Rhinolophus ferrumequinum: one gene and its partners. The protein of the gene in region 1 interacts with the protein of each later gene in a pairwise test. Links are inferred from orthologs where the notes say so. Each region holds a gene or a part of one and is shown in the gene's direction. Other genes may lie near its edges.

The links.
Region 2: the proteins of CRX (region 1) and LARP4 interact in binary tests that used the Homo sapiens proteins (3 or more experiments, as listed by UniProt). The two-hybrid records come from large-scale screens. The link is inferred for Rhinolophus ferrumequinum from reciprocal best matches to the Homo sapiens genes CRX and LARP4.
Region 3: the proteins of CRX (region 1) and PPP1R16B interact in binary tests that used the Homo sapiens proteins (3 or more experiments, as listed by UniProt). The two-hybrid records come from large-scale screens. The link is inferred for Rhinolophus ferrumequinum from reciprocal best matches to the Homo sapiens genes CRX and PPP1R16B.
Region 4: the proteins of CRX (region 1) and M1AP interact in binary tests that used the Homo sapiens proteins (3 or more experiments, as listed by UniProt). The two-hybrid records come from large-scale screens. The link is inferred for Rhinolophus ferrumequinum from reciprocal best matches to the Homo sapiens genes CRX and M1AP.

What each region holds. Positions count from the first base shown.
Region 1 is NC_046298.1:43,662,198-43,669,395, reverse strand, and holds CRX (cone-rod homeobox protein), read left to right. Parts: upstream 1-4,172; coding exon 4,173-4,272; intron 4,273-5,189; coding exon 5,190-5,341; intron 5,342-6,393; coding exon 6,394-7,020; downstream 7,021-7,198. UniProt on the Homo sapiens protein: Transcription factor that binds and transactivates the sequence 5'-TAATC[CA]-3' which is found upstream of several photoreceptor-specific genes, including the opsin genes.
Region 2 is NC_046293.1:51,101,819-51,109,277, forward strand, and holds the start of LARP4 (la-related protein 4), read left to right. Parts: upstream 1-4,441; 5' UTR 4,442-4,636; coding exon 4,637-4,654; intron 4,655-5,071; exon of another isoform or gene 5,072-5,211; intron 5,212-7,459. Other genes in the region: protein FAM186A, read right to left, coding at 909-1,079, 4,129-4,206. UniProt on the Homo sapiens protein: RNA binding protein that binds to the poly-A tract of mRNA molecules. Associates with the 40S ribosomal subunit and with polysomes. Plays a role in the regulation of mRNA translation.
Region 3 is NC_046306.1:17,491,660-17,499,655, reverse strand, and holds the start of PPP1R16B (protein phosphatase 1 regulatory inhibitor subunit 16B), read left to right. Parts: upstream 1-4,992; 5' UTR 4,993-5,110; intron 5,111-6,355; exon of another isoform or gene 6,356-6,507; intron 6,508-7,996. UniProt on the Homo sapiens protein: Regulator of protein phosphatase 1 (PP1) that acts as a positive regulator of pulmonary endothelial cell (EC) barrier function. Involved in the regulation of the PI3K/AKT signaling pathway, angiogenesis and endothelial cell proliferation.
Region 4 is NC_046296.1:17,443,120-17,450,080, forward strand, and holds the start of M1AP (meiosis 1 arrest protein), read left to right. Parts: upstream 1-3,959; 5' UTR 3,960-4,004; coding exon 4,005-4,244; intron 4,245-6,961. UniProt on the Homo sapiens protein: Required for meiosis I progression during spermatogenesis.

The sequences.
Region 1 (7,198 bases):
TGGGAGGGGGTTGGCCTCATTCTGCTCTGGGGGTATCGCAGGTTGTTTTGGGGATCAAGAGCAGGGCTCTGGAGCCTGAGATATCTAGGTTCTATTCCCGGCTGTGCCACACACCCCTGGAGAATTGTGGCACCTCGAGAATTGAGAGAACCTCACTCAGCCTCAGTTTCCTCATCTGAGAAATGGACATCTGAGCTCCGTGGGGCTGTGGTGAGCCTCCTAAGAAGCCGTGTAGCTTGGCGGTCAGAAGGGCACAGGCTCAGGGACAGGTGTTGGCTCAGCTCTGGCTCTGCTGCTGACACGTGTACAGGACGGGGGACTCTACTTCTCGGAGCCTTCGTTTCCTCCTCTGTGAAGTGGGATGATAACAGGACCTACCTTGTAGGAAGTTTTCACTGGATTATCAGCTGCCTGACCTGGGGCAGGTAACTTCCTCCCCTCCCCTCAGGCTCAGTTTCCCCACCTGTAGGATGGATGATCTCCATGAGTATCCACAAGGTGTGCGCCAGCCTTCAGGCTCACCTGTCAGAGCACCTGCTCAGGTGGGAACCTGGACCCAGCGGCTGCTGAACCCCAAGAGCCCCGAGCACCAGCCTATGGCCCCACAGGTTGATTCCCAAGGCAGGGACAGTGGTCTCCCTCGTCCCACTCTTTGGGATCATGAAGCACCATTGCCTCGACATTCACTCAGCAGGATAATAGGGCTGCCGAGTGAACCAACAGAAGGTCAATATAGTAGGTCAACAACAATAGGTGTTGTCTGTGCTCCTGAGATCAGACACACAAAGCCTTCGGCTGAGTGTCTGTCGAGGGAAGAAATCCTGAGGTCCTCAGCTTGCTGCCAAACCCAGAGAAAGCTTTCCACCAGGTGTCTGATCTTATTTTTGTTGTTATTATTCTTTGCTGACATCTTGTCCATGAAGCTCTTATCAGGTGTCTGAGGAGTTGGCAAACCCTCCGTCCTAGAGGTCATTATCATTATCGGCTGCTTGATCTTGAGTGAATACCTGCCTCCCCCAGAGGCTCAGATTCCCTACCTGTAGGATGGGATCACCCAGTGAGAGAAATTTAGGCTTTCCCAAAGGCCAGCCACTTAGTGGGATAACCTGGTGTGGATTCGATGGTGAAGACATCAGAAGTCGATGCTTTTGCTCCAAGTCCTGCAAATTGCCCCTAGCAGGACAGGTTCACAGTTCTGCTTGTTTCTACTCTGTCTAGCAGTTGTGATGGAACTGGAGAAGAGGGAGAGGACAGAGGGAATCCAGGATGGGGACTGGGAGGACAGGGCCTTCAGGAATTCTCCAGGGTAGGAATCCTGGGTCCCCAACCACAGCCTGTGTGTGACCCTGGGCAAGTCATGGCACTTGAGCCTGAAGATGTTCCCATCTGCATCATAGCAATGCAGTCTCTACCTCCCTTGGTTGTGCTGAGGACTCAGTGGTATCCTGCATAGAAAAGGCTTGTGTATGAGTTATCTATGGCTGTGTAACAAGTCGTCCCCAAACCTCACGGTAAATGTGAAACAGTAAACATGTACGATGTCATACGATTTCTGAGGGACAGGAATCCAGGAGTAGCCTCGCTGCGTGATTCTGGCTCAGAGTCTGCTGCTGGATTCAGAGGTCGCCCAGAGCTGCAGTCGTTTGCAGGCTTGACTGGGGGGCTCATCTCCATGGCTGTTGGCAGGAGACCTCAGTGTCTCACCACATAGACTTCTCCATAGGACTGCTCGAGCATCTTCCAGAAGGAGAGCCAGAATCGGAAGTCATGGGGTCATTTCTGCGATATCCTATTGGTTGCACACGTCAGCCCTGCTCAGTGCGAAGGACAAGTCAAGGGTGTGACGACCAGGGTGAAGATTATTGGGTCCTGCTTAGGACACCAATAGATTCTTAGGACTTAATGTTGTTTTTGTTTTTATTATTATCAGCACTGAGACCCCCAGTGACCTTCCCATCAGGTCCTGCATAATCTTAGTCCACTTTCCCCCTTGATCATTCTGCTCCAGTCACACTGGACACCTTGTTTCTCCTCCAACAAGAAAAATCTATTCCAGTCTCCAGGCCTTTGCACCTGCTGTTCCCTTTGCCTGGAAAAGCCTCGACCTTGAGATCTTCCCACGCCTAGGAAACTTGGCAGCTCCAGGGTCACCTCCTTACTGAGAGCTCTTCCCTGTTCTTTTATCGGAATTAGATGTGTCACCCTCACTCCAAACCTCGTCATTATATTCTTCCATTTAATTTTTCCCGGAATTCTTGAAATTCTCTGAAAGCATTTTGATTTTCTAAAACATCTACTTCTTTGTTCACTGTCTGTTTTTCTGACTCAAATCTGGAAGTTCACTCTCATGAGAGCAGTGATGCTGCGTGTCTTATTTCTTGCCACATCCCTAGTTCCTAGAGCATGGTGGACCTTTGAAAAATATTTACAGAATGGACAGTAGGTCCTTAATTTATAATAAATAGAAGTCTCTCAGGTGAGAGATGAGAAGGATGGGGCAGTGGGAGAAGAAAGGAGTAGGAGCTGAAATACATATCGTCTACTTTTTATTCATTTACTTACTTTTCAAATATTTATTGGTGCTGGGGACAGAGCAGGGATGGAAATACACCTAGTCCTTGCACTCCTCTGACAGAGCTGGGGGAGACAGGTAAACAAAGTTAAAATGTGTCATATTTAATACATGCAAGGTCTTGAAGAACAGGAGAGAGAAAATGTGTGTGTGTGTGTGTGTGAGAGAGAGAGAGAGAGAGAGAGATCCAGCTGAGAGTGTGGGACAGCTTCCTTGGGAAGTGATGTTTGAGCTGAAATCGTGGGTGAGGAAAGGGGTTAGCTGGTGAGAGGGGGTTTTGAACTGGGGAGAGGCATTTCTGGCCCAGGGAACAGCTTGTGTGTGTCCAGAGAGGCTGCAAGGTTTTCTGAGACATCTTAAAGAGGGCAATAGCGGATAGGGGCCATGGAAATGTTCTCATGTCTTTTTCTTTTCTTTTTAGAGTTTATATTTTGTTTTTGAAAAGGTGACACATATATATGGTTAAAAAGTAACCCAAACTGCAAAAATAATGTATGGATATAGCACACCTCCCAAGGCAGCCACTTTTACCCTATCTTGTGTCCTTCCTGGAAATTTTCAATGCATAGACATGCATCTATAATAATAATAATATTATTATTGTCGTTGCCTTGTTTTAAAAATCACAAATGGTAACATGCTATACATACTGCTCAGCACCATATTTTTTCTTTGACTATATATAATATATATTGTACACGTATATGTTATATAGTTACTATTACATATAATTTGGTAGTATATGACCTCTACTACACACATACACCCTCACACACACCCTTATTGTCAAAGTGTAATTTTAAAATATTTTAAATCCTGACTCTAAGACACATACGTAATAAACAGGTCAAAGATTGATTTAAGTTATTGGAAACCAGCTATTTCAGAGATGAATTCAAGGAACAGAAATACAGTTATTTCCCCATTAATTGTTCATACACATAGTCATTACAAACACACATGTATCCATCCCTACATCCATTCATCTAATCATTTATACACACATAACCGTATCCATCCGTCTAGTACATACATACAACCCGATGGGTCAAAAATGGTCGTGGCAGATCATCGCTTGCTGACGTTTTAATACAATTAGGGTGAGCCACCAGCCTGGTTTGTCAGGGACTCTCCCAGGTTTCACCCGGAAGCCCCACATCTTTAAAACAGCTTCTGTTTCAGTCAGACCGGGGACCGCTGCTCACTCTACTCTCTGTGATTCTGCGTGAGGTTGAACATCTTTTCCCGGGTCACAGAAAGAAAAGATTTTGGAGAGGGAAATGGCAGGATCAGATTTTTTAAAGGACAGAGCAGGAAGTAGAGCTTCTATTTAAGATGTCCATTACAGCCTCAGCTCTGCTTAACGGACAGCGTCTCAGTGAAGCTTTGAGGACCCTAAGCAGCGGGCCATTTATTATAGGTGGGGAAACTGAGGCACGAAGCGGAGAGAGAAATTGCCCAAGGTCCCATAGCTAAGAAGAGACTGAGGCAGGATTTGATCCTAAGCCTGCCTGTCACCATCCGGTAACTGGGAGTGTTTGAGCCCCGCACCCCTTCTCTTGCAGGCCCACTGACCTGGGCACCAGCGTCCAGGAAGACCATGATGGCGTATATGAACCCGGGGCCCCACTATTCCGTCAATGCCTTGGCTCTGAGTGGCTCCAGTGTGGATTTGATGCACCAAGCTGTTTCCTACCCCAGTGAGTACAGTCGTCCCTGCCATCCCAGACTGGCCCCCATCTACTGGGGGCTTCTGGAGTCCCTTGCCCTCAGGAAAAAGACGGGCACTTACAGAGGTGACATCAGGGTCATATGCAAATGCAAAACACTACTCCATGCAAAACACTACTTAGGGATTCAGGAAAGTATACAGACATTCAAAGAAATTTAGGATAGTGTTTCCATCAGGAGTGAAGGAGAGGGAAGTGATCTGGAAGAGGAACCAGAGGAATTTCCATCTGTTAGAAATGCTTTATTTCTTTTTTTAAAAATAAATTTTATTGGGCAATATTGGGAACAGTTTGTTTCTCCAGGGCCCATCAGCTCCAAGTCGGTGCCCTTCAATCTAGTTGTGGAGGACGCAGCTCAGCTCCAAGTCCAGGCGCCGTTTTCAATCTTTAGTTGCAGGCCAGCAACCTTGTTGTTGAGAGCTCATGCTCTAACAAACTGAGCCATCCGGCCCAGAAATGCTTTATTTCTAAGAGAAGTGAGCTCTCTTTGTATTTTTGGTGGCATTATTATTTAGCTGTTTGGTGTTTGTTTTGTTTTTTCATTAAGTTGAACATTATGCATCTGCCAGTTGTATAGGCTAGAAATGGTTGAATATCCAGTGTCATGTTTTAGTGTCTAAGAAATTAGAAAGGGACCAAAAAACAAATTCATACACCTCCTTACATGGCTAAAGCCAGGTGTCCTCGGGGTGAGGCATGAGCCCCAAAATGACAGGCAAAAAGGGACCCCATACCCAGGGAGGCGGAGTAAGGTCCAGAAGGGTAGGGCACATGAACACACAGAAGGGGTTTCTGAGCGTCCCACACACCCTCAGGGCCTCACACCAGCAGATGAAGAGAATGGAGCCAGGTCACCTAAGGGTCCCGTTTTCCTTTTCCCCACCCAGGCGCCCCGAGAAAGCAGCGGCGGGAGCGGACCACCTTCACCCGGAGCCAGCTAGAGGAACTGGAGGCTCTGTTTGCCAAGACCCAGTACCCGGATGTGTATGCCCGTGAGGAGGTGGCCCTGAAGATTAACCTGCCTGAGTCCAGGGTTCAGGTGGGATGTTCCGGCCCTTCTTGGGGCCCAGAGTGATGGGAGGAGAAAGAAGCCACAGAGTAGCAGCCACAGTCATGAAAGGCCAGAATAATCCTTTACCCCCATTATTTCACTGGCCTCATCTCAGTGTTCCTACCCTTCTCGCTCCACTCCAGCCAACTGGCCCCTCGGTTTTCCTCTAACATGCCCACCAAGCACACTCCTGCCTCAGGACCTTTGCACTCTCTGTTCTCTCTGCCTGGAACGTTTATTCCCCATCACCTTGTTCAAGTCTTTACCCACCAATCAAGTCATTGAGGCCTCCACCGGCAGTCGAATTTAAAGTTGCAATCTTTCCCCACATCCCCCAACTCTACTGCTCCCTCTTTCCTGCTCAATCGGTTCTTCCGTAGTATTTATCACCTTCTAAAATATTATGTGCTTTACTTACTGTTTATAATCTGTCTCTCTCAAGTAGAATGTCAGCTCCACTGATGTATATCCCCAGAGCAGTAGAAGACGGTTAATGCATGTTTATTAACTGATTGAATGGATGAATGTGTATATGTGTGTGTATTTGTATGATTAGATATTTGTATGACTGGATGTATGTATGATTCATGTACCAATGTGTATGTGTTTGCTTGTATGATTGCATATATGTACTCATGACTGGATGGTTAAATATGTGTGTGTGTGTCTGTGTGTGTGTACAACTGTATGTGTATATTTATATATGATTTACGTATGTATTAGATAAATGAATGTATTTATGTATATGTGAATGATTAGATGAATGGATATGGACACGTGTGTTTGTATGAATGTATGTATGTATGGTTGTATGTATGAATGAGTGGGTGGATGGGTGGACAGACAGTAAGGTGGGTGGATAGATAGATGGATGGATTAGTGGATAAGTGGATGGATGGAGTGACCTATAACTGATTGCAAAGTGGAGCGGTGTGACTCTGGTGTGTCTCACCCATAAACAACATCATTTCTGGGCACCATGGGGGCTCTCCTGGGTCTCCTCCCCACTCACCCACCGGCGTTCCCCTCTTACCCCCCAGGTTTGGTTCAAGAACCGCAGAGCTAAATGTAGGCAGCAGCGGCAGCAGCAGAAACAGCAGCAGCAGCCTCCAGGGACACAGGCCAAGGCTCGTCCTGCCAAGAGGAAGGCAGGCACGTCCCCAAGAGCCCCCACGGATGTCTGTCCAGACCCCCTGGGCATCTCAGATTCCTACAGCCCCCCTCTAGCTGGCCCCTCAGGCTCTCCCACCGCAGCAGTGGCCACTGTGTCCATTTGGAGTCCGGCCTCAGAGTCCCCTTTGCCCGTGGCCTCAGGGCCTTCTCTCCCCTCAGCCCCCTACACCATGACCTACGCCCCAGCCTCTGCTTTCTGCTCTTCCCCCTCAGCCTATGGGTCTCCCAGCTCCTACTTCAGTGGCCTGGATCCCTACCTTTCTCCCATGGTGCCCCAGTTGGGGGGCCCGGCTCTCAGCCCCCTTTCGGGCCCCTCCGTGGGACCCTCCCTGGCCCAGTCCCCCACATCTTTGTCAGGCCAGAGCTACAGCGCCTACAGCCCTGTGGACAGCTTGGAATTCAAGGACCCCACAGGCACCTGGAAATTCGCCTACAACCCCATGGATCCTCTGGACTACAAGGATCACAGTGCCTGGAAGTTTCAGGTCTTGTAGCCTCTCCCTCCATCTCTGCTCTACACCCGCCTGCCCACAGCTTAGATATTTGGCCAGCACCTCTGAGAGAGCAGCAGGAGCCAGTCATCCTTCCAAGGCTTGTGGACGCTTTGACTGCATGAGCAGCGTAGCTCAACACAACCCACCCCTTTCCTCCCTTTCCTGGGACAGCTCAGGG
Region 2 (7,459 bases), on another chromosome or scaffold:
GTATGATTCCACTTATATAAAATTCTTTTAAAATGAAAAATAATCTATAGTAACAAAGCAGATTGGTGGGGGTGGGGCAAAGAAGGGTGTGTGGGAGTGAAAACTTTTGGGGGTGATGGGTAAATTCATTGTTGATTGTGATGGTTTCACGGGAGTTCATGTATATTAAAACATACTTTAAAAATACACATTCTATTGTATGGCAATTACACCTCAGTGAAGCTATTAGAAGCAAACACTGTGTTACTGTTGCTAGTTGTGGGGAGTTGGAACTCCGGTAAATCTACCTGGTGAATGAGAAAGTACATGTACCCATTCAGCACTTCCGAAAGTAGGAAAGAACTGCCTCTGAGTTAATTTGTTAACCTGACTGATTTTGTTGCATTCTATCTGAGATTAGAGTACAGCACTGCCTTAATTGTTTGGGAGTCTATTTGATATATTATTTAAACTCTTTTTTAATTGCTTTGTATTTCTCTTGGCCAATAAACCCCTCTTCCAAAAAATGTTCAGTGGAAACAAAAGGAACTAGAGTTCAAATTAATCTATGTTTCTCTTTATTAATAGTTATTTGATAAAAACTCAGTTGTGAACAAATGAAAACTATTGATTAAAATTAGATATCAAAATTGGCAATGGATTTTAATTTTTCTTTGTGTCCAAATCACTCAGTAGCACATGTGATTTATTTCTCTAAAACTTGATTAATTCCGATATTAAAGTGAAAGATATTAACATAAAATTGGAGCTTGTAATCCATAGTCAGGAGAAATCGTCATTTGAGCTCAACGTTACCTCAAAACAGTCAAATATCATGCAAATAATGTAAGTTCTAAAAAAAAAACCTGTAGCTGGTCATGGAAAGTTAAAAAAAGTTGCATCCTGTAAACTTCTCATTTACTACCTACCTGTCTGGCTCGAAAGAGTTTTGCTTGCTCAATCTTAGAGATGATTTGCTGTGCTGTGTCTGGGATCTCAAGTTTAGAGACCATTGATTGGGCTATTCTGGACATGATGGGATCCATAACTTCATTTTCTGATTCAGATTCATCTTTTGTCTCATTTTGCATTTTGGTAAATATTTTGAAAAGTTGAGTGATTTTCTTTTATTTCTTCTTTCCACAGAATATAAGCAAATGCTAACAAATGTGTAGAAAAAAGCTAGAAGAGGTTTTTTTCCGCTTCCAAGGGTTGTGATTTACCCTGCTACTAATTGGTTGCTAACCATGGTGTTCCATTCCTGGTGATGTCATAATAGGCCCATTGTGACATTATTGTTGACTCAAACATTTAAAGAGTGCTTAGTATATGCAGAGAACTAGGCATTCTATATGCTGTGATGGTAGAAGGGTGAGGGGGGAGGGTGGGTAGGAAAAGACTAGACAACAGGAACGATAAAAGAAACAGAAGAAATAGCCCGCTTACATGAGCTTAAAATCTAGCTGTTAGAATTCAAGATCCAGTGTATCAAATGTAACTCCCTTCAAGTAACTCTTCTTCAAGTTTTACTTAAGAATTTTTCAGCCTGTAATGGAATACTTGTGTTACAACTTCCTCAGCTGCCCTTCAACTTTTGCTAGACATGCTGTAACTTGGAAGGTGTTCTTTGAACGATTATCATGCTCTTTGCACTACCTAGTTACCTGTTTTTTCAAGGAACCTGACTGAAGAGGCTTTGAAGTTCCATAGTTGACTCCAGAAATTGAAGGGAACGCTAGGGCTGCTTTTTAACTGAAAGAGGAGTGCTTTGGGCAGCTTCCTTGATTGCAGAGGACATGAAAGGATTTAGGAGACTGGAGGAATTCAAGGACAGGGTAGTTTTGTTGGCTGTGTAGCTTAATTTTTAATTTACAAAGATATGAAAAATGACATATAACATATGTATATATACTATAACATATAGCCATGTGTCTATCACCTGGATTGAATATTAACATTTTTGTCATATGTGCCTCAGATATTTTTAAATAAAGCATTAGAGATAACATTGAAGACCCCTTTGGTGTTCTCCCCAAATTCCTTCCTTCCCCTCTATCCCTTTTTAGAGGCAATGACAATCATGAATTGGATGTATTTATGTCTAGTCTATATTTATATGGTTTTACTACAGGTATATGTATTCATAAACTATATAATATCATTTTGTAGGTTTTAGATTTTATACAAGTTTTGGATGTTCTCTACAAGAACTTCCTATTTGAATACTTATTGTGAACTTAGTCCTATGTTGAGTCCTTGTTGTAAACTTGTAAAGTTAAACAATATATATATTTCAGGCCTTCAGAGAAAGGGAGGCAGAGGATCATCAAGTAGTTGTCTTTTAAAAATACCAGTATATTTAGCGAGAGCAAATTAGATCTTTTTCCTTCTCTTTAATTAAGATCCTTTGTCTAAGTTACTCCCTCCTCTGTGTTTCCAAATCACTTTGTAAACTTTCTATTATAGTACTTAACTCATCGAAGTAGAACTATTATTTGTCTCTATCTACTAGTTGGTGAACTTCTCAAAACCAGATGCTGTACTTAGTTTTCTTTTTCTAACATTTGGTATATTCTTCCTCAGTTCCTCACAGAAACTGTCTAACATTTGGATATCCATTATAGTTTCAGATTCTTCTTATGGAAACTTTTCTAAGCCCCAGAATACTTCCTTGTATTGTTAGGCCCACTCTGCCCCTAGCCATAAAATATTACTCCCCCCTTTCCTGTAAATCACAAGTAAGTCTATTCAAGGAACTTCATGTTTTCTGAAAGGACGACAATTAAGGAGAATTATTTATTTTTATAAATGTGAGGTTTGATAAAAATACCCATCATTGTCCGGCATTTCTTGAGATTATCAATTAATCCGTTTAAGTACTTTGTTGATAATATTAGATTGTGAGACCCTTAAATAACTTTCATTTCTCTTGATTTCTTTACATTGGTTACTCCAATAGGCATTCACAAAGCTGTCTACATGCTTGTCAACTAAACTAATTTAGCATTATTGTGTTCTCTCTTTCTCTCATATTGTTTATGCATCATGGAATTTGTCAGCAACTGGAAATGAAGACTTTTTAAAGCAAATTTAAAATCTCTCTCCCTCCCTTTCAATTTGACAAGCATTTGTTGAGACACAACTATGTGGCTACCATCATCCTAAACTGTGAAGAATATGATACGGTACTTGTGATGCAACTAGAAAACAAACAAAAAAGGAAAATGATTTAAGATAGAATATAATATTATATTCAAGTGCTAACAAGGGACATGAAGAAGAGATCTGTGGGGAGCATTGGGAAAACCTCATGGAGAGAGAAGGTTGATTGACAAATGAAGCCATTCCAGATAAGGAAGACCCTTTAAGCCATGGCTTTGGAGGTGAGTGCTGAGTTTGTGCTTCAGGGGAAAAGTGAGGAGATCGGTTTAATTGGGATGAAGTAATGTTGAGTTTACTGGGGATCAGATTAGGGAGAGTATGAAACACAAATACTAGCAATTTGATGGGGGAATTAATTTAGCACCTAAGGAGATTCATTTGAGCTAAAGTAAGGTAGATTATGTGGGATCAGAATGGTCTTGAAAGCAAATAACAGCAGTTTTGGTGAAAGTGAAACCTTCAATTTAGGAAGATTTTTGAAATAATAGAATGGGAAAAAATCCATTGGAGAAGATCAAGACATGACTATTTCAAAAGATGAGGGTCTGAACTAGGATATAGAAGTGAGGCTGACAAGGGAGGAATAAATCCTACTAGGTATTGTTAAAGATAAGGAATTTGGATCATCTAACAAAATTATAAAGATAACGAAATTTTAAAAATTATATTTCATTTGAATTGACGGCAGAACACCAAGAAGAGACTATCCAAACTAAGTGTTATTAAGTAGCATTATATTAAGCAGAGATGTGGGCACCCGATTCAAGCGAACGTGGGGCAAAGTTCTTTAAAGGTGTGTCTAAGAGAAACCCGCCCTTCTAGAGGGCTTCTTTAACTGATAAAATGGGGATAATAGTATATATTGCATATGATTGTTTTCAGATTAATTCATGTAAAATACTTAGACTGCCAAACACATAGTAAGCATTTAATATACAGCAGCTGCTATTAATATATTTACTATTAGTGCTTTTTCTTTTCCTCTACTTTTTTTCTGTTATCCACCACCTTTTCGGCAGCGTTGGGCGTTCCTTCAGAACACTTCGCACAAACTCGGCTCTTCATCACATCTAGATTTTGAGCTATGAAAACTACGAAATTATTAGTTATCTGTTTGGCAATGGATAAAACGCAGTACGACTTTTACACACCCCCGTAGCACAGAATGGTGCCTTCCTCTGATCGCTTCCCTCTTCCTCCCAGGGCAGATGATAGTACTTTCCATGCTGCTGCGGGAAAAGGTGGTGCAAAAGTTGAGCACCCCGAAGATTGTCTCTTCTCCCGGAAGCAATTGTTCTTTAGAACCGGAAACAGTTGCTGTTTCAAGGGAGGTGGGACTGGGCGGGTCAGGCCGCAGCGGCTGACGGCGGGGGAGGAGCCGGGTCCACTGCCGGGTGGAGGGGCCAGGCGAGTGTCCTTATCCTAGCGTTTGGGGCTCGGGCCTGTACAGTTGGAGTAGCAGCGGCGAGAAGGATTGGGCCGAAAGGGGGAAGACATGTTGCTCTTCGTGGAGGTGAGTGGACTCGGTAATCTCGTCCTGCTCCGAAGGGAGCAAGAGTGTGCAGACGCCGGCCGGTCCCACCGCCATGTGACTTTCCAGGCCGTACACGCCGCGGAGCCGGCAGATAGGCTGACACAGCACCTGGGCCGTGCAGGCCTGCGGCTCCACTTTGCACTCTCACAACACTTTCCGAAGCTGTGGGATGTGAGGGCCGGAGTCGGGGAACATAGAAGGGGGAGAATCGAGGCTTGTCGGGTGTGGGGTGAGGATCAGAGGAAGGGGGAAGTGTCCCATATGGATCTCCTAAAGGAGGCAAACAGGCGGGGGAGGGGGAGGGGGCGGAGTCTGCGGAGAAAAGGGTAATCAGGTGGGCGCGTTCTGGGGGGTGAAGCGAGGCCTCGCGGGGCCCTCTGGGAGGGAGGCGAGCAACATGTGGGGCCGCGGAGGGAGGACGCTGGAATTCGGTAGAAGTGTTTTGAAAAGAAAGTTGAAAGCCTCTTTTTAACAACCCTCACCAAATTTTGTTTGGTCCTAGTCCCTCGGTCTCTGGAACGTTCTGTGGGCGGAAAGTAAGTTACTGTGAACGGAGGAGAAGCCAATAGGGTTTGGAAGCCTTGAAAGGCACCGCTTTGACCTTTTGTAAAAGTTACTCAAGCTGCGGCTGGGGGGGTGAGGAGTTGGTTTTATGAACCGACGAAAGCCCTTTACAAGGAAAATTCCAAGAATGAGAGAAACCTACTCTGCGGGAAGATTTTTTTTTTGTATTGTTGTTTAACAATAGAAATACTTTTATTACTTTAAGGAACTCTGTTGTTGGCCTATTTTGATTTTAAAAGTAGTGGATACCTGCCTTACACAAATACGAGGTTTAATTTCTCTTATTTCTGTCTTTCTCTTGTGTGCAGTGAGCATCAGCTGACTGCCTGGCTAATGCTTTGAGTATATTCCAGATCATATTGTTCTTGCATTGTGAAAACGTCAAACCAGCAAAGCTGCAACTTCGCAACTCGGCACTTGTTAACTATGCCCATAAAAAGAATCTTTTCAATGAGGGAAGGAATTTACAGGTTGCGTATAGTGGATCGGGGAGCTGGGGCCAGTCTATGGCGTTTTTTTGGAGGAAGGGAGGGATCTTATTCCGTAATATTACGGCGTAAAGTAAATACATACTCTCGCTTTAAAAATCGAATCAGTGTCACTGGTAAATGTGGGATCTTTAAATTGGGTTTTAAATTGACACAGCTACCTTAGAGTATGTCCAACATTGATAATAAACATTCATTGTAACATTCCAAGTAAGGCATAAAAAGATTTAAAATTACTGAGCCCTTCTATTTACCGATTGTATCCTCACTGTTGTTTTCCTTTAGGCAGAAATAAGAAATCAGATATGATTTTAAGCAGTGCCAGTTTGTGTTAGGAATGTTATGCCGTGCAAATGCCGCAGGTTTCAAGTGTGTATGTGTTTTGCAGGACAAAAGAAAGCCTGTGAAATTGTATTTATATCGACATGAATTCCAAAATAAACTTTTGAGTTCCAAATTGATTCCTTTGGCTTTGTTAAAATGTGAACTTTAATAGTAGCTTCATTTATTGAGTGTTTAAGATCTTTTCTTGTTTCTAAAACAACAATGCAATGTTTTACAGGTGAGAAAACTGAAGTGGAGAGGTTAAGTAACTTAGTAAAAGTAAAGTAGTGGAATTAAGATTTAGATACAGGTCATTCTATATGCCAAATCATGGCTCTCACTAAACTGTTACATAAAATCAATGTTTCCTTGAATCACTTTTTTTTGTGTGAATCAGTAAGTGGTTTAAAATTTTTCTTATAATGAGTTTTATAAAAAATTAACAATGTCACTAAATACTTGGGACTGAATATATGTTAAAATCAGTAAAAAAAAAAAATCCCACTGGTTATTGGCATTTTGTTAACTATCATTTGATCTTTATAACCTCATGGTATAGGAATTATTTTTAAACCAGTGAACCCAAGCTCAGAAGTTTGATGTCTAAGGTCATTCAGGTGTGAATAATGTGAAGACTAAAGTCTGAAGTCTAGCTTCTAGAACATAAGTCTCAGGTCCCAAAATTTATTTTTTGCACTTTTCCTCTAAATCAGGGGTTCTTACTCTGGGTCCCTAGATAGAATTGAGGAAGTCCATGAACTTGGTTGAGGAAAAAAAAGTTGCCTGTTTTTTTTCCCACTAGCATCTGATTGAAATCTAGAATTGAAAATTCTTGAAATTTCAGTGAATGCCACAAGATAAATATTTCTATATATAATACAGTTTTTGCAGATAATCTTGAAATATTGTTTACCCTCATTACTCTTAAAAATGTTACTTAATAGTAAAGCACATTTGTTACTAAATTTAAAAACATCTTGATGACTATAATATAATTGGTTTATTTTGTGATCCTGTGTATTTCATATATTTAAAAACATTCTGAGAAGAGATCCATAGGTTAATTGGACTATTAAATAGGTCCATAGTACAGAGAGGTTAAGAACCACTTTACTATAAACCAAGTTACTTTGGTAGGATCGCTCTAATCTGGGATCTGTGAGTCCTCTGCAGTTGTGTTCGGGATCTTTTACTTTGAGTACATTTTTAGGCAGAACCCAGCTTAACTAGGGATAGATAATAGCACTGATAACAGTAATGCTATAATAATAGTGGTATACGTATGTATTGCGCTTACTATGTATCAAGCCTGTTAAGTGTTTCTGCATGTATGCATGTAGTATACATCTACTCAAGCCTACTTAGGAGATTAAGTAGCATTATTTTAGAGATAAAGAGACTAAGGCAC
Region 3 (7,996 bases), on another chromosome or scaffold:
GAACAGTATGTCTTTCTAGGGCCCATCAGCTCCAAGTCGTTGTCCTTCAATCTAGTTGTGGAGGGCGCAGCTCAGCTCCAAGTCCAGTCACCGTTTTCAATCTTTAGTTGCAGGGGGTGCAGCCCACCATCCCATGCAGGAATTGAACTGGCAACCTTGTTGTTGAGAGCTCACACTCCAAACAACTGAGCCATCTGGCTGCCCCTCTGGCAGCTCAGCAGCTGCTCATTGTCTTCAGTCTAGTTGTCAGGGGTGCAACTCTGTGGCCCATTTGGGAATCGAACCGTCAACCCCGTTGCCAAGAGCTTGCGCTCTAACCAGCTGAGCCATCCGGCCGCCCTGGGCACCAATACTTTTTAAAGTTCCCTTTGTGAGTCCTGTGTACTGCCAAGATGGAGAGCCACTGGCCTAGGAGGGTTCTCTCTAAACTGAATATAAAAATGAAAACCCATCTGCCCCTACTCCTAGTTCTGCTTCACGTCATAACATCGCAGGACTGAGCTCACCTGCTAGCCAGAAACATCTGGTGCTCCCTCCACACCACTGTGGGGCCCCCACTGTGTGCAATGCTCCACCAATGCTCTTTGGGGAACTTACAAAAGAGGCCAAAGAAAGGTCATTTCCCTCAAAAGCATGGGGACGTGGGAAAAAATGCACACATAAACACACGTAAGTATTGTACAATCGGGAGTTTCACAGACCAGGAAACGGACACTCTGAAAGGGGAAGTGACTGCCCAGCCAATTCATGGTAGAGCCAGGACTCTTACCCAGAATGCCTTTTTTCCACTCAGCTCATTTTCCCTTGGGCCCTAGCAGCACCTTCTGCACTTCCTGCACATTTGTTGGTTGGGCCCGGCCTGGAGCCAACATTTCACCAGAAGCAGCAGCCACCTATCAAGGCTTAAGGCTTACCCTGGGCCAGGTTTTGGACTAAATATTGTTGAATGAATGAATGCAGCCAGCCCAGCACCTGCCAACCGTCTGGCATTGAAACCAGTGGATTAAGTAATCTCAAAAATGAATCCCTTTGAGCTGTATTAGCTCATTTTTTCACAATTTAGAAGTCTCTAGGACTTCCTTATTCTGGAGTCCTTGCCTCGCACCACAGCACCCATATAATTCACCCAAATTCTACCTTCTACGTAATTTACATGTAACTGTGAGCTGACTTGAATTGCAATTGACTGGTTGATATAAAGTTATGTAGATATTTGATTCTATATTTGTAAACATCAATGTTTCAGGTGTTAAATGTTGGAGCTAATCCATTTATTTTCAGGTCCTCAAATATTTTCCATAGTTTGTTAGAATATTCATTAGTCTTGGACCCTCCCCTAATGTCTAACAGATCATAAGTGACCTCAAAATAAAGCGATTTGCATTTCATTGATGGCCTGGGGACAAGAGAGAGAGGTTTGGAGAACATGGTCAGGGTTGCCTTCAAGGACCAAGACCAGAGAATAGTTTAACTTTTTTTTTTTTTTTTTGGGTAAAAACTCTTTTGAGATACAATTCACATACCATACAATTCACTCATTTAAAGTATAAAATTCAATGCTTTTTTTGTATATTCATAGTTGTGCAACCATTACCACAATCAATTCTTTTTTAAACTTTTGTTTATTTTAAGTGTATTTTTCCAGGACCCATCAGCTCCAAGTCAAGTAGTTGTTTCAATCTAGTTGTGGAGGGCGCAGCTCACAGTGGCCCAGATAGGGATCGAACCGACAACCTTGTTGTAAGAGCACCGCGCTTTACCCACCTGAGCTAACCGGCCCCCCCACAATCAATTTTAAAACATTTTCATCACCCCAAAAAGAAACTTGTGCTCTTTTTCAGTCACTCTCCATTTGCCCTCCAAAACCCCCTTCCAACTTTAGAGAACCACTAATTTACTTTCTGTCTTTATAGATTTGCCTATTCTGGACATTTCATACCAATGGAATCATACAATATATGGTTCTGTGTTTGGTTCTGTCACTTAGCTTAATGTTTTCAAGTTATGGAATGTACCACATTTTATTTATCCATTCATCATTTGATTGACATTTGGGTTGTTTTCACTCTTTGGCTATTATGAATTATGTTACCATGAACATTTGTGTACAAGTTTGTGTGGATGCATGTTTTTATTTCTCTTGGGTCTGTCTATACTCAGGAGTGGAATTTCTGGATCACCTGGTAACTCAACATTTAACATTTTGAGGAACTGCCAGACTATTTTTGAAAGCAGGTACAGCATTTTATATTCTAACCAGCAATATATGAGTTTTCTAATTTCTCCACATCTTTGTCAACACTTGTTATTATCTGTCGTTTTTATTATAGCCATCTTAGTGAGTTTGAAAGTGTATCTCATTGTGGCTTTGATTTGCATTCCTTGATGGCTAGTGATGTTGAGTATCTTCTCATGTATTTATTGGCCATTTGTATATCTTCTTTGGAGAAATGTCTAATTCAGATTCTTAGTTCCTTTTTTAAATTGAGTTATTTGCTTTTTTTTATTGCATTGTGAGAGTTTCTTGTATATTCTAGCTATAAGTTCCTTATCAGACATATGATTTGCAAATATTTCCTCCCATTCTGTGGGTTATTGTATTTGTTTTCTAAGGCTGCCATAACAAAATACCACAAACTGAGTGGCTTAAATAACAGAAATTTATTTCTCACAGTTGTGTTGATCAAGGTGTTTGCAGGTTTGGTTTCTCCAGAGGCCTCTGTCCTTTAACTTGTAGATGGCATCTTCTCCGTGAGTCTTCACAAAGGCTTTCCTCTGTATGCTCATCCGTGGTATCTGTTTTTCATAAAGACACTGGTCATATTGTATTAGTGCTCCCCCCTAAGGGCCTCAGTTTAATTAACTTAATCACTTTTTAAAGACCTTATCTCCAAATACAGTTATATTTTGAAGTACTGGGGGTTGGGACTTCATGTGAATTTAGGGGCACACAATTCAGCCCAAAAGTTATCTTTTCACTTTTTTGATGGTGTCCTTTGAAGCACACCTTTTTTTTTTTTTTTTTAATGAAGTCCGATTTACCTCTTTTTTCCTTCGTTGCTTGTGCTTTAGGTGCCATATCTAAGAAACCTTTACTTAATTCAAGGTCGTGACTTACACCTATGTTTTTCGCTGTGAATTTTATAGTTTTAGTTCTTTCATTTCAGTCTGATCCATTTTGAATTCATTTTTGTGTATGATGTGAGGGAGGAGTCCATCTTTATTCTTTTGCATGTGGAAATCCTGTTCCCCTAGCACTATTTGTGGAAAAGACTGTTCTTTCCCTATCAAATTGTCTTGGCACACTTATTGAAAATCAGGTGGTTATAAATGTAAGTGTTTATATCCAGACTTTCAGTTTTATTCCACTGATCTGTGTGTCTATCCTTATACCCGTACCACACTGTCTTGATATCTTTGTAGTAAGTTTTGAAACCAAGAAGTGTGAGTCCTTCACCTTATTCTGAGCATATTTGAACTTCTGTCAAACACTGTAAGCGACATGAATGAACAACACAACATGGGGGTTTGGGCCTACACTGAAGGCTTCATTTCAGGAACACAGAATCCTGTCTTGGAGAGATGGATTCCGGCCCTCTCAGCCCTCAGCTTTTCATGATAAATCAGTGGAAACATTCTGCAGAGAACAATGATCCCCCTGGGTTTTTTAAGCATCACTTTAAGTCTTCCCCACCTGCTCTGCTAATTGCTCTGACTGAAACAGTGTCATTCACAACTGGATTATTAATGAACTGAGAGGAAGCCAGGAGGAGAATGGTGGGGAGAGGGGGCTTTCAGAGGATTTGAGGGGCCTGGAATAAGCCCAACCCAGAGTTTTTCACTTCCCCAAGAAAGGTTACTGAGTTTTCTTAGCAAGCAGAAAACCACTAAACTGTCAGCCTCAGAAGAACATTGCTAGTGAGTAATGACCCAGAGGAGTTCTTCAAACAAGACTGCTGGGAATTGAATTAACTGTGTACCACCCCTTAGCTCCCCAAACTTAAACCTTGTCTGCGCCCCACTGGCTGGCCCTAGGGCTCTAAGCTGGAGGTTGAGAAAGCTCAGGAAACAAGGCCCTTTGTGGAGAAGAGAACTCCATTGTTTTAAAGCCAGTGTTCAGCGAGTGTGGATTCCAGAGAATGTTTTGGGATGGGTTTTTCCCCTTTGTTAACTTTCTCTCCTCTTCCTGAGGGGGTGGGGGTGAGGAGTAGGGTCTTCTCAACAACAATCTTAAGATAGTTAAATCTCTTGTTCTGTAAAGAAAAGATGTTGCTCAGAGTGCAGGGGCCTTCAGTCCAGTAAAGAGGCTCGAATTTGATGATAGAAGTGACTGGACGTCTTGCTTTGTTTTTCATTTTTAGCATTAAATGTCAGGGAGGCAGCACCTTTCTAGAGCTTGCACATCTCAAACAGTGGCAGACGTCAGCTTAGGTACGACCACTTCCTTCCTCCTCCGCTTCACCTCCTTTCTTTCCAGAAAAAGGAAATGATGCAAGTCCACGCCGCAGGCTACGGCGCCCAGGCTCCCAGGTCTAGCTTCAGCTCCCCCGTACCCCCAACTGGGGGATCTACTCCCACAGACCTGTCCCCAGGGCGAGGCCTGGCCCGTCTCCTTGATGTCCTAGGAAGCCTTCAGAGTCAAGCTGAGCAGGCCCTCAAGGTAAGAGACTTGAATTCGTGGCACTGTACTAATTCTTGTGGCCTTGGGTAGGTATCGCTCCTCTCTGGACTTCACGATGCCCTTCCGTCAAATGGGAGCAAAAGTACAGATCTGGGCTTCCCCCTTCCCGTGGTGGTGGTGGAGCGGGGATGGGGAGAAGACTATACCCAAGCCTGGCCGCATCCCAACTTTCTTCAATTTCGAGCTGCTCAAAGGAGGGGCTCCCATTCAAAGGAGGGGCTCCCACCCGAGAGTGCCTGGACCCTTCAGGCGGAGCGCGCCCACCCACTTCCCGCGAGCTCAGGCCCCGCCTTGGGGGAGGAGCCGAGGGGCGGTGCCGAGGCTCGCGGGGAGCAGAGCTGGTTTCTGTCCCTCACCCGCAGCGGAGGCTCGGGGACTGACGGACAGAGCCGGGGCCGGGAGCCTCCGGGGCAGGGCTCGGGAGAGCGGGTGAGTTCTCCAGCGGCGCCGCCTCCCTGCTGCGCTCTGCGGCTTGACCCGGTAGGGGATGAGGATGGCGGCGGGGAAGTGGTCCCGGCCTCTGACAGTCTGGCTGGGGGTGTGTGCGGCGTTTTGGCCAAGGGCCAGTGGCTTAAGATAATTGGGCGGGGGGGGGGGGCAGTAGAAAGGCGGGTAGCGGGAGCTCAGGACCGGAGAGGCTGGCTGGGGTGGGGGCGTTCTCCCGGGTCTCGCGCGCCAACGATGAGGCCGGGATGCGGGGCGCATTGGCCGGTTGTTGGCTGGGGTCGCCGTGGCCGGATCATGGGGCGGCTCGGGAAATTTCGGCTGGACTCTCGGGTCACCGTCTGCCCGGGGGCGTAATGCCGGGAATTGGGAACCACAACCAGCATCAAACATCCCCGTTGTCCAGCCTCCGGGCCCGGCTTGGGGGCGCCGCCCCCTCGCGTGGCGCCGCTTGGTCCCCTCAGGCAGCGGCGGGGCGCAGAGAGCGCTCCTCCCGGAGCGGGAAAGGTCCCCAGGGCAGGCGACCCCGCGTGTCCAGCCGCCCCGCCGCGGGATCCAGCTGACAGAGCCCTCCAGCCCCTGTGAGACCCCGCTCGTGGTTGTTCCGGGGGAGAGGTGCGCCGGGCCTCTCCAAAGGGCCGCGTGCGCCGGCTGCTGGGTACCCAGCTCCCGGAGCGCTCTTCTCCTCCCGAGTCCCGCGCTTCGACTCTGGCGGGAGGAGCGCCCCCGAGCGCCTAGGATGGGCAGAAACTGTGCAGCTTGCCCCAGAGAGGTCGCACGGGGGGTCTCCCCAAGGTCACCAGGACCGCCCAGGCTGAGCTGCCAGACCGCCCGAGAGGAGAGCAGGGAGGAGGAGGCGCTCGCTGCTGCCTCCTTCCCTGATGCAGACTCCCTCCTTCCCGCCTCCTCCTCCCCCAGTCCGGGCCCAGCTTCACTGGAGATGCTGATGATGCAGCTCCCAGCCGCGGGCGGATAACTGAGCCTCCGCGAGCTTTGAATCTGGCCCTCCCGGCACCTCCGGCGCCCGGACGGGGAGAGAGAGGAGAGAGAGAGACACGGCTGCTTAAGCGCTTCTCAGAACCGAAAGCCGAGCTGCTTGCGCGCCCATGTGATTGGATTCCACATAATGGGCCCCTGTTCTCGCTGTCAGAAGCGCCCACCAGCTCCCCGCGGTCCGGGCACCAGGTGCCGCCTGTGAATCGCCCTCTGTGGAGGACCCGGGCCCTGAGGTACCAGGCGCCCTTGCCCGCAGGGATCTCTCGGGAAGGGGCCCGTGGTTAGCTGCCTCAGCCCGCGGGGATACTTCCTTGTGCCCTGCCATTTCCTGCGGCTCGTACAGCACCGGGAAAACCCCTCCGTCTGGGAGGCCTCCTCCTAGGCAGGTAATAAAGCTTCTTAGCTCACTCAACCAGTGACTAGCTGTTTGCCCGAGGGCATGGCACTTGGCCTCTCGGAGCCTCAGTTGCCTCTATAAAATGGGGCTAAGAATCAGGCTGTGGGGGAGGGCGGGGAGAGGACCCATGGGAAGTGCTTGGTGCAGTGGAGCATGGCAGGATGAGTGCTTCTAGGTAAATGCTGGCGCCTTCCATACTGGTTTTGAGTGGGGCGTGTCTCTCAGGCAGGGGCAAAAGTGGAGCCCTGGTAGGTGGTTCTGCAGGGGTCGGGGGATTTTCTACAGCTCCTTCCCTCAGCTCTGTCAAAAGGAGCCAGCTTGCAGGCAGCTGGTGGGTGCTGGTGAATCCTTTCAGCTGGCAGCCTGCTCACAGGGCCTTCCCACACAAATCCCCAGCCCTTTCTCTCCCACCTGCCACCGGGATGTTGGGGACAAGATGTCAACCAGACCACTCTGGATGTCCAACTTTGCACCTTTCTGTCATTGGGAGTCTGCCTGACAGTGTCCCCCATCCTGGAACCTTCCTGACCCCTTGGCTGGTCCCAGCTCTCCCCAGCCCTGGAGTGTCTTCCTACAGGAAGGACACTTGATCCTTCCTACCCCTCTTTCAGTTTCCCCCATGTGACTGCTCGGTGGCTTGTGCGTTGGCTCTCGTTGCATCTTGGTGCTCTCTGAATCTTCCCTGGTATGGAATGACATGGCGGGTAAGGCCAACGCATGCTTAGACTCTCTCTGGTAATTGATGCTGAAGTGAAGGTTAAATTCTAGTCTAGTTAAGTCTGTTTGGGAGCCTGAGTCACAGGCCTAAGAGGTTGCTGACACAGGAAGGCGGGTTTCCCCCCAAGCCCAGAAACTTCCTGCAAAGCCCATGAGGACTTTGGAAACTAGGGGCCCCAGGTTCCTTTCAAAACCTGCTCCATCTCCAGAGTGAGCTTTCTCTGACCACCAGAGGCTGCAGCCAGTCTGCTTTTACAGGTCACAGCAGGTACATAGCTGGATCTGTGTGCTGTGCTTGGACCCTCAGGAACCCAACCCAACCTTGCGCCTCCCCCAACCTAGCTGTCCCGCGCCCTCCACCTGCACCCAGGACTTGGAGCATTTGATATATAGTGAGTCCCAGCTGGCATTTTCTGGTGGAGAAACGAGGACAACCTTCTTTATCTTGAACACATCTCAGAGACTGGGTTTCAACTAGGGTTTGAACAAGCCAGCTTCCTACAGAAAGCTACAAAATATGAAGAGCAAGGGATCAGGCAGGTCTAGTTCAAGTTATAGCTCTGTGTAAAAGCTCTGTGACCCTGGGTAAATTATTCACTCTATTTTTTTAAATGTTTTTTTAAATTTTAATTTTATTGCAGAATATTGGGGGACAGTGTGTTTCTCCAGGGCCCATCAGCTCCAAGTTGTTGTCCTTCAATCTACTGGTGGAGGGCACAGCTCAGCTCCAAGTCCAGTTGTCATTTTCAATCTTTAGTTGC
Region 4 (6,961 bases), on another chromosome or scaffold:
ATTTAAAGTAGTCTTGAAATTGCACAATGTGGGATCTAAAAATGACTGTGCAAGCTGAAACGGTTCAAAGTGATCTTAATAATCAATGGGGAAAATTACATTTGTTCCAGGACCTCTCAAAATTGTCCTCAATTGTTAAAATCTCTCTTATTGTCAGTTATAAGTATACAGGGAAATGAAAAATAATAAAACCAGTATCTATTTAGCAAACTGTAATTTATAACATTAGAAACATTAACAATTAAAGTGTTTTATTTCTTCGTAAAAACATCAAAAGTAGTTTCAATAGTGTTTGTGCTTTTCTTCTTCCCAAGATATATCTTATGATAAAGCAAGCATCTTTTCTATGCCTTAGCAAATTGTTATACTCCTAAGTGTGAATCAACTTCCAACATTTTGTCCTTTACACTTTCAATTTTGTAAAATATCTCCAGGAGTTCCTCTAATATGAAGGCACTTTCAATTGGACATTTTCATACATTTTGTCATAAATACTTTCCTCATTTATGTTGAAGGTTCACATTCACTAAGTACTCTGACTGCTTATCTAGAATCTATCAAATGGTGTCATTGTCAATATTCTGATTGCTCTTTCTTCTATTGCTCCGTTTATGTTTGATTCAACTTGCTCTTTCAGTGTTACATCACTTATAGTTTCTTTGCGACACTTTCATCTTTGTTTGCCAGTTCCCTTTCAATTATCCATTTTTGTAAAATGTCACGTGGATTTATCAGTAGGAAACAAGGCAGTAAAACAACTATACACTTTGCTGTCTGTGCTTAAACTGATTAAGAGATCTACAGTGACTGCTCACTGACAAACTTTGAAAGAAATGGCATAATTGATCACGGAGCATGATGTGCATCTGTTACTTATGTAGTGATTTGTGGCCAGAAGAGCTAGCTGAGATTTGCACTTTATGTAATTACAGTTAATATTCTATGGTAATTGAAATTTGAACTGTGTTGATTGGTGCTGGTGTTATTTAACTAAATTATATTTGATTTGAGATTTGTATATATTGGAATCATGAAAAGTTAGAACTGCCTATACTCTAAAATGGCAAGAGTCTCAGACGTGAAGGAAGATGGGCAAGAGGAATATAAGCTCATTCTATATGAAGTAAGGCCTCTATCTGGGTGTCTGTTTGTCTGTGTGAACCTGTCTGTGTGTCAGCCTCAAATTCAGCATTACATTGGTCCTATGCACTTAATTTTACAAGTACAGTTTAAAAATATTTATGATATGTGCTTTCTTGGTAAATACTTTAGTCATTGGCTTGGATTTCTGGTTCAATATTACTTTCAACAGATTAGCATGTTCATTCATTTATTTGTTCATCTGTACCCAGTACAATTGGAGGGCAATAAAAAATTGTTCAATGAACAAATGCTGACTTCCACTACCCAAAAAGGAAAATTTGAAAGAGATTGACTTCACAAATTCATTTTGAGAAACACATTTATCTATGCACTTTTAGATCATTTTTAAAGATCCTAAATTCCAAAATGTTTCTAAAAAATATCATAAATATCTTTCTCTTGGACCCAGAGGAAATTAAATAAGCTTTTATTTCCCCTTCATTTTTTTTTTAGCTAAAAAACAATTATATAAAATTATTTTAGTTCCCAGAGGTGGGATATGTTTTTTTAATCTAAAAAATATTTTATGTTTGTCCTAATGTTCTTTTTGAAATATTTTTATCGTTAAATATAACGTATAGAGACTATTTCATAAAACATGAACATATAGTTTAATAATGATAAAGTGAGCAACCACAATAAAAGTCAAGAAATAGAACATTGCCAATATCCCAGAACCTCCTCTTTTGTCCCTTCTAGTAGTAATGTACTGCTTCCTTTCTAGAGAAAACAGCTCCCCTAATTTTTGTGATAATCATTTCCTTTCTTTTTAAAAATAGTTTTACCATTATGTACCGATCTCTAAACAATATATCATTAGTTACGTTTGCTTATTTCAAAATATCTATGTGAATGGAATCTTACTAATCTTTGTGTCTTGCTTCTGTTATTCAATATTGTGCCTTAAGAGTCATCCATTGGGTGGTGAACACACAGTGTAATTTATAGATGATGTGATACAGAATTGCACACCTGAAATCTATGTAATTTTACTAACAATTGTCACCCCAATAAATTTAAAAAATAATAATTAAAAAAAGAGAATAGAAAGGCCAGAAATTTACATACATATGAACAATTGATAATTTTGCTATGAGTTCAATAAAGATCTAAAAATAAAAAAACAAAAAATAAAAAATAAAATAAAGAGTCATCCATGTTGTTGCATGAAACTCTAATTCACTCATTTTCATTTCTGTATGTGTGAATATACTGTGGTGTTTGCAGTTTGGGATAATTGTGAACAAGACGTTATGAATAGTCTTTTTGCTGCTATGATCTGACTTTGTTCATGTATCCTTGTGCATGTCATTATTCACAGATTATATGATTGTGAACAAAAAAATCCAAAAGGATCTAACAGATAAATTGTTATAATTAATAAGAGGGCACGCAATTGCAGCAAGGTTGTTAAATACAAAATCAATATACAGAAATCAATTTTATTTCCATACATTAGCAACAAACTTAAAACGAAATTTTAAAATACGTCATGTAAATTAACATTAAAAATAGCAAATTTCTAAGAATAAAATTTAATAAACAATGAGAACTTTTGGAGAAAATTATAAAACTGTGGATTCTTTTAGATTTTCTATATATACAATCGTATCGTCTGCAAACAATGACTTTAATTTCTTCCATTATTCTTTTTATATGTTGCTATTTTCAATTTGCTTATATTTTATTTAGGATTTTTACATCTGAGTTCATGGATGAGATTATCCTATAAATTTTTTTCTTGTAATACTCTTATCTGATTTTGATATCAAAGGTTATGCTAACCTAGTAAAATTAACTGAGCAGTGTTCCTTCTCTTATTCTCTGAAAGAAATTAAGATTGAAGTTCTTGGTCTTTGAGAGTTTGATGGAACTTGTCAGTGGAATCATCTGACCCTGTAGTTTATTTTGTGGGAATATATTTGACTACCAATTAAATTTCTTCAATGGTTATAGAGTATTTAGGTTTTAAATCTTCTTTGTTAGTTAATATTGGTTAGGTATATTTTTCTAGTAATTTGTCCAATAAGGCTGAAGATCAAGTCATGAAGGGTCTCAGACAAGTCCTGAAGGAGGAAATGTGGTCTTATTTTCATTTTTAAGAATGAAAATTGTTTTTTGTGTTCCAAAAAACAATGAGCACTGATAAAGTTGACGAAACATTCTTCACCCTTGGAAAGCTTACAGTATAGTGGGAGAGGAAGTCATAAGAACAAATTACAATACAGTACAATAAATGCTAATAAAGAAACAAAGTTTATGAGGGCAGATAACTTACTTTGAGACTGAAGTTTCACTTTTGTATATCTTTTTGATTAGTTCCACTCAACATCTTTAAGCATTCTCAGACTTACATTACAGGCGAACATCTAAATCCCTTGGGAGCTATTAAGCAGGGATAGCCTTCCACAACATTTATCATTTAAGGTGTATAAATCAGTGGTTTTTGCTATATTCACAAGTGTGTGCATCCATTACACTCTATAATTCCAGAATGTTTTCATCCCCTTAAAAGAAACACTTCGTCCATTAGCAGTCATTCTCCATTTCTCTCTGCACTCAGCTTCTCGCAACCATTAATTTACTTTCTGTCTCTATGGAGTTGCCTGTTCTGTACATTGTACATAAATGAAATCACACACTAAAGAAACAAATAAATAAAAATGCGATAGCCAGCCTAGAGAAGCTTGAGTTAGTACCCAGTCTGACTCCTTTTTGGACTTAATCCCCTAGACCTGTGTTTATTGTTTCCACAGAGTATATAATTCAGTTTTATGAAAGACAATGATTTCTCTTTTCTTCCCTGTAGTTGTAGAGAATATCCAGGTGGTGGCTGCAGTTCCACCTTTGGTCTGGCTGCCATGTATCATGGACGAACTACTGGTAAAGGAGCCTCCACTCCCACACAGATATACGAGCGACCTCCGAGGATTCTCATTGTGCATATCGCTCTACCGTCCTGGGCTGACATCTGTTCCAACCTCTGTGAGGCTTTGCAGAACTTTTTCTCTCTAGCTTGCAACTTGATGGGCCCCAGCCGCATGTCCCTCTTCAGCTTATACCTGGTACAAAATCAGCATGAGTGCATCCTCCCCTTTGTGGTGAGTATATCTATATTTTTTTCACTTTATCCTGAAAGGAAATATGAGGTTTCTGAAGCAAGGATCACAGTTATTATTACTTATAGCATTAACTGTGCTCATTCTTATACCCAATACCACAGGCAACACAATGAGAGCCAGATGTCATCCTACACATAAGGAAGGGGGTGGGGGGCATTGTACTACAAAAGAGGAATCCCAAAATTATTAATATGGGAGTTTAAATAGGCTACATCTTGCCCCTCTCCACGCTTGAGAGAAGGAGAGAAACCTTGGCATTTACAGACCTTTGGAATATAAGCAACTGACTCTTCACACCTTTGAAATGCAAACACAGAATAATACATCTCTAAATTTCTTCAGAGGCCTCTGGTTATTCAATCACCCTTTAACTTCCAAGACTTGTCTTTTCACTCAGGTTCCAGTTTTCTTTGCTCAGAAAGTCCTAACTGTGCAGAAACATGAAAATGTGTTCTCTACTGTTTCACATGGGACTCAAATGAAATTCCCACTAGGGTTTCCGAAGGCAAAGGCTGGGCCAAAGCTCCCTTACACATAGACAACTGTGTCTCCTCATCATCAATCGAATTCAAATCTTCAGTTGGTCCCCTATACAAAGTTCAGAATCACAGGGATGGAAAGACTTCGGAAGTTCTAGTGCATCCTCTTCCTGAGGCAGCCTTGCTGCTAGGATCATCAGGGAAGGTCTGCTGGAGAGCCAGGACTTTTGTCCCTACCTGGTGGGAACAAGATCTCCTCCCCCTAGTGTCCATGGGAGCCATGTGGGAGCCTGTACGACCGCTCTCCTACCCTACATTAACAATGCCTCTGCCGCTGAGGTGATGCTGGAAGAGGCAGAGTGGAGGCCACGTGAGGAGTGGCAGTGAGGCACCTTTTTATTTCCAAGGCAGGATGGTGTCAGTGAAGGCCTAGTGAAAAGCCAGGACTTTTATGCCCACCTGATGGTAATGAAGCTTCCCCATCCCCAGAGTATCAGTGGGGGCCATGTGGGGAGACTGAACTTGCACCGCTACCCAAAAATAACAATGCACCCTCCCTTCTGGGTTGTAATCAGAGGCCAAATAGAGTTACACCCCTGGCAATAATTACCTGGAAACCTCACTTCCCCCACTGGTACAGTGTCAGAAGAGGCCTGCTAAAGCAAAATATTTAAATAAGATCCAAATCCTTATAATACCCAAAATGTCCAGAATACAATAAAAAGAAAATCACTCATCAAGAACTAGGAAAATCTCAACTTGAATGAGAAGATAACAGACCTCAATACTTAAATGACACAGATGTTGGAATTATCTGAAAAAGATTTTGAAGCAGCCATCATAAAAATTGACAAGTTTTCAGTGATTATTTCTTTGAATACTTTTTTTAGCCCATAGAAATTGAAGCATCATAAAAATGCTTCAGCAAGCAGCTATGATCATTATGAACATGCTTAGAATAAATGGAAAAAATAAAATCTCACCAAAGAAAAAGAAGTACAGAGAAGAACCAAACAGAAATTTTAGAACTGCAAAATGCAATAACTGAAATTTGAAAAACAAAAACCTTCGATGGTCTCAACAGCAGAGTAAAGAGGTCAGAAAAGAATCAGTGAACATGAAGATAAAATAGAAATTACCCATTCTGAGCAACAGAGAGAAAATAGACTTTAAAAAAATGAACAAAGCCACAGGGACCTGTGAGACGGTAACAGAAAATCTAACATTTGTGGCATCAGAGTCCAAGAGGAATGGGAAAGGAAGGTAGGGTAAAAAATATGTTCAAAGAGATAGTCACTGAAAATTTGCCAAATTTGGCAAGAGTTATAAACCTACATGTTCAAGATGCTGTCTAGCCTCAAACAGGATAAATGCAAAGAAATCTGTTCTAACGTAGAACAGATTCAAACTTCTAAAAACTAAAGACAAACTCTTGAAAGAACACTGACACCTTACCTAAAAGGGGAAAAAAATCAAGTAACAATTTTTTTCATCAGAAACTATGGAGGCCAGAGGAAGTGTCACATTTTTCAAATGCTGAAAGAAAAGAACTGTTGGGCCGGCCCGGTGGCTCTGGAAGTTGGAGCTCCGTGCTCCTAACTCCGAAGGCTGCCAGTTCAATCCCCACATAGGCCAGTGGGCTCTCAACTACAAGGTTGCCAGTTCAACCCCTCGAGTCCCAGAAGGGATGGTGGACTCCGCCCCCTGCAACGAAGATTGAACACGGCACCTTGAGCTGAGCTGCAGCTGAGCTCCTGGATGGCTCAATTGGTTGGAGCACGTCCTCTCAACCACAAGATTGCCGGTTCAACTCCCGCAAGGGATGGTGGGCTGGCCCCCTGCAACTAGCAATGGTAACTGGACCAGGAGCTGAGCTGCGCCCTCCACAACTAAGACTGAAAGGACAACTTGAAGCTGAACGGCACCCTCCACAACTAAGATTGAGAGGACAACAACTTGACTTGGGGAAAAAAAAAAAAGCCTAGAAGTACACACTGTTCCCCAATAAAGTCCTGTTCCCCTTCCCCAATAAAATCTTTAAAAAAGAAAAGAAAAGAACTGTTAACCTATAATTCTGTGTCCAGTGGAAATAAGGAATAAATCAGAAATAAAGATATTTTCAGGTGAAGGAAAACTAAGAGAATTTGTCACCAGCAGACTTACCTTAACAGAATTGTTAAAGGAAGTTCTTGAAACAGAAAGGAAATTCTAAAAGAA